Linked DNA regions of Danio rerio. The protein of the gene in region 1 purifies or fractionates together with the protein of each later gene. This does not show direct contact. Links are inferred from orthologs where the notes say so. Each region holds a gene or a part of one and is shown in the gene's direction. Other genes may lie near its edges.

Evidence for each region.
Region 2: the proteins of dnajc3a (region 1) and dnajb11 purify together in Homo sapiens (affinity purification with mass spectrometry; 3 studies listed by BioGRID and IntAct, with this or other methods). This does not show direct contact. The link is inferred for Danio rerio from reciprocal best matches to the Homo sapiens genes DNAJC3 and DNAJB11.

What each region holds. Positions count from the first base shown.
Region 1 is NC_133184.1:31,168,159-31,172,440, reverse strand, and holds the start of dnajc3a (dnaJ homolog subfamily C precursor), read left to right. Parts: upstream 1-1,479; 5' UTR 1,480-1,573; coding exon 1,574-1,655; intron 1,656-2,157; coding exon 2,158-2,268; intron 2,269-2,665; coding exon 2,666-2,790; intron 2,791-3,137; coding exon 3,138-3,212; intron 3,213-3,807; coding exon 3,808-3,960; intron 3,961-4,282. UniProt on the Homo sapiens protein: Involved in the unfolded protein response (UPR) during endoplasmic reticulum (ER) stress.
Region 2 is NC_133184.1:34,325,014-34,328,010, reverse strand, and holds the end of dnajb11 (dnaJ homolog subfamily B member 11), read left to right. Parts: intron 1-752; coding exon 753-912; intron 913-1,045; coding exon 1,046-1,110; 3' UTR 1,111-2,175; downstream 2,176-2,997. UniProt on the Homo sapiens protein: As a co-chaperone for HSPA5 it is required for proper folding, trafficking or degradation of proteins.

The sequences.
Region 1 (4,282 bases):
TGAATAAATGAAGCACAAACAAAGCCAATAATGACAACAAAATTTATATATAGCATTTAAGACAATGAGAGAATAATAATTATCCTTTTATCTTTTTTATAATGCTTGAAGCCCTTTCTCTATTTCTCTAATTATTCCAAATGACAACATGGTGGCGCAGTTGGTAGCGATGTCGCCTCACAGCAAGAAGGTCGCTGGTTTGAGCCTTGGCAGTTGGCATTTCTGTGTGGAGTTTGCATGCTCTCCCTGTGTGTGCATGGGTTTCCTCCGGGTGCTCTGGGTTCCCCCACAAGTCCAAAGACATGGGTGAATTGGGTAAGCTACACTGTCCGTAGTGTATGTTCTGGTCCTCCTCGGGGGTTGAGCTTTGGGCTAATGACCCACCTCGATCAAAAATTAGATGTTATGAAACACCAACATGGTGCGGCTAAATATCAACTTCGATATGAACTGCTCTGGGAGTAAGTAATTATTCTAAAAATGATGAAGTTAAAAAATGGTGATTGTATCAGTTGCACAAGGTTATCATCCTTTTGTTGTGTGTCAGTTAACTGAAAAGTGTACTGCCATTACCAAGCATTGGACAGATGATGCATGTTCAGTACTTTGATTTGTAAATGCAAATTTTTTATAGCAAAAACAAAGCAACTATCTTCTTCCAAAGGCCCATGGTTACAACTTTTTAAATTAATCTTTGAGAAACACAAAAATCCTTTCTGAAAAAAGTGTTGCATGCAGAACTGTTGCAAACAATGTATTTGTGTTGAATTTAAACATTCAAATTAAGCTTAATGACGTTCAACTTAATTTGTTTGTATATATACACCATTTCTTAAAAAAATGTTTTGTGTAACAAAAAAAATCCTACAAATTATTTACTAATGTTCCTGAATTGTTTGTCAGATAAAGTCTTAAACCTAAAGTGTCTCTTTTAGACACAGGATTTTTTGTTTAAAATACCTGTATACTGTATGTTATGTTTACATATTTCTTATGAGGATTCCAGGACAGAAAAGCGTGACTATCTGAATTGTCTGAAAGTTCCTGCCAGTCACCTCAGGAATTGAAACAAAGAAACAACTGAGACTGCTACACTGTATCAACATTTAAGGACTTGTGTAAGTGCATCCTTTTTTATCCCAGAACTATGAAAAAGATAATACTAGATACTTTTTATTTTTATTAGCGCTTCATAAAATGACAAAGTTTGACAATTAAGGTCACATCTGGTGGCAGTCTTACTTTATCATAAATAATAAAAACATCTTTTTCAGAAGGATAAACTGTACAAGTTTCTTATCGTAACCACATCACACAGCTTCATTCCTCTCTCCACCAATGTGAAACAGACACTGCCGCGCATGCGCAAACTAAATCAAAATAATGATGCCGTGGCTACTCTCCGTTGAGCAGTGCTTGACGGGCGGGGCTTAGAGAAATATCAGCCAATCAAAGCGACCCACGACCAGTGAGCATGATGTCCGCTGGCCTGACAGATATGCGAATGCCCAGCGTGTCTTCGCCAACTTTATGTATTAAATCAGTGATTTGACGTTGGGAAGAAAAAGAAAACATGGTTGCCGTAAGCCCAGTGGCGCACAAATTGCTAAGCTACGTTCCTTTCCTGCTAGTTTTGATCGATCTTCGATATGAAGGTAAGTGATCAGTCCTTGTGCTGGTTAATTATAAGAAATTATTTTAACCATGTTTGTTGTAAACTGATAATTCGTCTTCGTAACATCTGTTTGAGGAAGTGCCTTTGTTTTTCTCATTATTAAAATCAAAACAAAGTGAAAACAACCCAAGCTGAATGTCCACATATGATACTCATAAAGTGCATATGGTGAACTGTCACAGTAGTCAGTATGATGACACTGTGTTTCACTGAGGTTTCCACTGCTGTACTTCACTAAAGTCGTTTCAAACGTAGTTTATCTGACTATACTCAGTGAATACATGTACAAAAAAAGATTTGAGTTGAGGCATTATGCCAACCATGATAACTACAGTCTATTTGAATGTGCACTACTCTACTACAGGTATGTTTACTACTGAACGGTACAGGTAACTTAGTGCGTGTACAGTATACGTCGTTATACTCTGTGGTTTATTCTAGGCTTCAGATTATTTATTTGTTATGTATTGTATGTGTCGCAGGAGTCAATGGAGGGAAGGATGGTGGCGTTGAGAATCATCTGGAGATGGGGAAGAAGCTTCTGGCTGCAGGACAGCTGGCTGATGCTCTCTCTCACTTTCACGCTGCTGTTGGTCAGTCTTCTTAATTTAGTTTTAGTTTCTTAATTTAATTTCTAATTTTTAATTAGAAAATGTACCTCTTAAAGCAATAGTTCACCCTAAAATGCTCACTGTTGAGTCATAAGGGATGTATATGCTGTTGTTCTTTCAGACAAACTCAATCTTAGTGGTTAAAAACAATTTATTTTTCTTCTGTCAGCTTTGTAAGTGTAGTGAATATTGTGTTTTTGATCAAATTACAAATTCATTGAGTTTTGACATATTCATATTAAAAAATGTATAAAGTATTATCACTGGTTTCTGGCAAGCCCAGAAATATAAGGTGTACTCTGTCTTTCTGTATACATATATTTATCTAATAGTAATTATCTATGTATAATATCTATCTATCTATCTTTCTAATTTTCAGATGGAGAACCCAAAAATTACATGGCATTTTATAGGAGAGCAACTGTATACCTAGCCATGGGAAAGTCAAAATCTGCACTACCAGACCTCAGCAAAGTCATCGAACTTAAACCGGACTTCACGTCGGTGAGTTTTCAGATTCATTGCACACATTAAAGTGGCCCTGTAATGCTTGGGTACCCTGGTTTTGTTTTTGAGGTCTCCTGCAATATGTTTTCATTCAGCCGAGGCTGTCTATTAGGTTAATAATTTAACAAGGTCTTGTAACAATAAATGCACCAAAATGAACAAAATACCCATCAAATTTAAGATAAGAGGGTATTACATTTTGTGCAGAATTAAACTAAATCTTAGCCTGCCTCCTTTATTATTTTTATATGTAATATTTTTATATCAATTTTTTTTTTCAGAATTTCAACATATTTTCACATGGTTTCATCCAAAAATGAACATTGTTTGTTTTCAATACTCAGGCAAGGCTTCAGAGAGGAAACCTACTGCTGAAACACGGTAAACTTGATGAAGCTGAAAGTGATTTCAAAAAAGTGGTGAGTAACATTAGGTTCGTAATCAGGGATGCACCAATCAGATACTTCTAGACAATTCTTAGTCTGTACTATAAATGACTTCTTACAATAATCCACACAATTTCCAGATGTCATATATTATTTAAATTATTTAAATATTAAATTGTGACAGATATGTTGTAGGTTTCATTCAAATGTATATAATTTTTGTACTCTTTACAGTGCGTTGCATTTTGTATTATATCGTTAAATAATTCTGAAACTGTTATGAAAGTGAGGCAGAAATATTGCAAATAAGATCAGTGCTGGTTGAACACAGTGTTTAAATATTCAGGTTTTATGTATTAAACTAAAACTGTTTGATCAGTGTATGCCTATTTAGCATGGAAAGAAGTTTTGAGATCATTGTTCAAAATCTGCCAAATTACAGTGCTTTCTACATGTCACAATTTCAAGTGTATCACCTATAATAAAACATGATTTAATTTAATCTTCCTTCGGCAGAGGTGGTCAGTGGGGTAAATTACAAGTCTAATATAATAAAACTATTGTGCTGTTCTGAAACATATTATCCATATATTCTCTTAAGGATAACGCTGTGTCTTTTTGTCATCAGCTCAAATCAAACCCAAGCAGCAGGGAAGAGCAGGAAGCACAGAGTCAGCTGAAGAAGTCTGATGAAATTCAGAGACTGGTGTCGCAGGCACAGAGTGATTTCAAACACCGAGAATATAGCTCTGCCGCATCACACCTCGACATCATCATTGATGTGAGTTCACCTCTATCAGGGTTTTCTCAGTAACTAAAACCATAAAAATGCATTACTTTTAATTAAGTAAACGCTAACTGAAATAATATATTAAAATACAATTATGGACCAAAGCAACTGTATTTAAAAAAAAATATATTTTAACTTGAAGTACTAAAATACGACTGTTTTTATGTTTAAAACAGATTTGTTTTAAATATACATAAAAGACATTACTTTTGATGTTTTATATATAAGTTTTTAATGTTTTTTTATCATATTTTTTATTTGTTATTAATTAGTATAATGATTCATTAGAATATGTATAAAATATTATAGTATT
Region 2 (2,997 bases), about 3.2 Mb from region 1:
ATTGTAAATTATATATTTGTAAATTATATATTGAATACTTGGTGGGCTTATAGCCAATCCTGTTGATATAAAGAAATAAATTTAATATGAATGTCATTAAATATCTATTTTAAAATGTCATTTATTCCTGTGATTACAGTGTTGAATTTTCAGCAACCATTATTTAAGTATTCAATGTCAAATGGTCCTTCAGAAATGATTATAATAAAATATTATTTATTTCTTTAAACAATAATAATTATTTTATTATTTTTTTGTCTACAAAAGCTTTAAGAACATAATTTATTTGGAATATAAATATTTAACATTATCTTGTTAACATTATTCATTCTACTGTCTTTTTTTATTAGTGTAATGCATCCTTGTTGAATAAATGTTCATTTAAACAAAAAAGAGAGCGGTCTTACTTGCCCCAAACATTTAAATGTAGTGAATGTGGTTTTACTCAAATATGAAGCTGAACAACTCTGATCATATGTTGAAAATAATGTAAATCTTGAAATGTTAATTTCTGGAGGAATCATCATGTGACACAGCAGTCTCTACATAAAAAACACAGTAGAAAATAGTCCTGTTAAATTTGCAATAATGTTTGTAATGATATTTTTTATAGAACTATATTATGCTCTGTATTTTTCATTTAATGTATGTAAACTTTGTACAGATGTTTTGGTTGATAACAATCACATCCAATTCTGCATCTCCTATGTCTCAAATAAGACTCCTCACAAACTCTTCTTGTGTTCTTGCAGGTGCATATTGTCAGAGATAAAATCACTAAACCAGGATCTCGTATTTGGAAGAAGGGTGAGGGCCTACCAAGTTTTGACAACAACAATATTCGTGGATCGCTCATAATCACCTTTGATGTAGATTTTCCCAAGGAGCAACTTGATGACCAGCAGAAAGATGGTAAGAGAACAGTTGACTTTTGGTCTATTATTTTATATAGAGAGACTGTAGTCTTAAAAATTACATATGAGGTGTTTAAAAAATATTCTGCTATTTCTGAGTTAATAAATTCTTTCTTTCCATTTTTCTCCAGGTATAAAACAGCTTTTGAAACAGGCACCATCTCAAAAGGTTTATAACGGACTACAGGGATACTGACAGACTAGCCAAGTAAATCAGGACTGAATGCGTGAACCTTTCTGCCCTACACACACACACACACACACACACACACACACACACACACACACACACACACACACACACACACACACAAATTCAAATGCACACAGAGGAACAAGCAATGGGGTGTATTTATTTTTCATATTGTTCTCAGGAAGGGTTGACGTTAAAGTTTTTATTTTTTTTTATGATTTCTTTTTCCTGATTTAAGTTTTTAAATGCCTTGTTTTGTCATAAAAAGTAGTTTTATTTGACCCCCCCAAAATGATAACTTTCTCTTTATATGGTCCACAGTTTCAGTAAGTAGTTTAAAACCTTTTTCATCAGTTGAATGTTTGAATGCTACTTTTCTGTTCTGACCAGTCAACCACCATCCACTCATGGATCAGCATAATGTTTAGTGCCAGTTGATTTGAGACCTGCAGCAGCAACAACAGAAAGAAAGAAAGAGGACTGAAACTTCAAACCAGAGGACAATTTAAATACCTGCAACTCAAGAACTTACTCTCCAAGTCTTTTAAAAAAAGAAACAATTATTTGAACGGAAGTTCACTGAACGTTCTCAATTTAGACTCTTCAGTCTTTGGTCCACTTGTTTTAAGGAACAAATTTATTACGGTTGTTGCAGCTGGTGTTTTTGTCCTCACCAAGCTGCAAATCCTGTTTGTTTGTTTGTGTGTATTGCTCCACTACTGCCTGGTTCAGATTTGCCGCCTGGATACAGATTCAGTTTCCTCTAAGGCACTTATTTGGTTTTTGAAGTTCCAACAGAAGACCTCTTTAACTGTACAGTTCAACTCTTTCCTGTGATTTATTTTTTATCATTTTTTTATGTGACGGATTCACTTTCATGTTTCTTTAACAGCCCCTCCTGATGTTCGGTCCATTAGGTCTGTTTCTAGTTAGTCATTTTCCTTTGCTCTTTGTGGACTGCACCAGACAAATCAGAACAACTTAGGATAACTTGTGCACTAGTGAAGGAAATATCATCTGCCATATTCAAAAGAGAATTAAAAGTTTATAATTATGGTTAAAAACTGACTTTATAAGAGACAAGAGTATTTTGTGTTTGTACAAATGTTTTTGAAAAATGGGTTTGACGTTTTGAACTACACTTTTTGTTATATGATAGTGGGTGGCATGGTGGCTCAGTGGTTAGCACTGTGGCCTCACAGCAAGAAGGTTGCTGGTTCGAGTCCTGGCTGGGTCAGTTGGCATTTGTGTGTGGAGTTTGCATGTTTTCCTTGTGTTGGCGTGGGTTTCCACCGGGTGCTCTGCTTTCCCCCACAGTCCAAAGACTGAATTGGGTAGACAAAAAAAAAATTGGCCATAGTGTATGTGTGTGTGAATGCATTGCAGTATTGGAAGGACATTTGCTGCGTAAGATATGCTGGAATAGTTGGTGGTTAATTCTGCTGTGGCGACCCCTGTTAAATAAGTTACTAAGGAAATGAATGTTTATAATAGTCAACAATGTCAATTATTAGCTAGTTAGGCAAGCAGTAACTGACATGTCCAGCAGAGGGCAGCAAATGATACAAGAATGATACAAGAATGAAGATACAAACACTAGTTAACATTTCAAGCAGATCAACCTTTAAGATGACAAAATGTATTGTTTAATACACCTTTTGGGTTTCAGGACTATCAGAAACCTGTCGGAAAATATACAAAATGCACCCTAAATATATGCTTTTAAAAATTTTATTTACAATACGAAAATGATTGTCACCCTCAAGTGGTTCCATAGCTTTAGGTTTCTTCTATTGAACACAAAAGAAGATATTTTGAAAAATTTTAGAAACCTAAAACCATTCACTTCCATAGGCAATTATACATTTTCTTTTTTAATATCTTATTTTT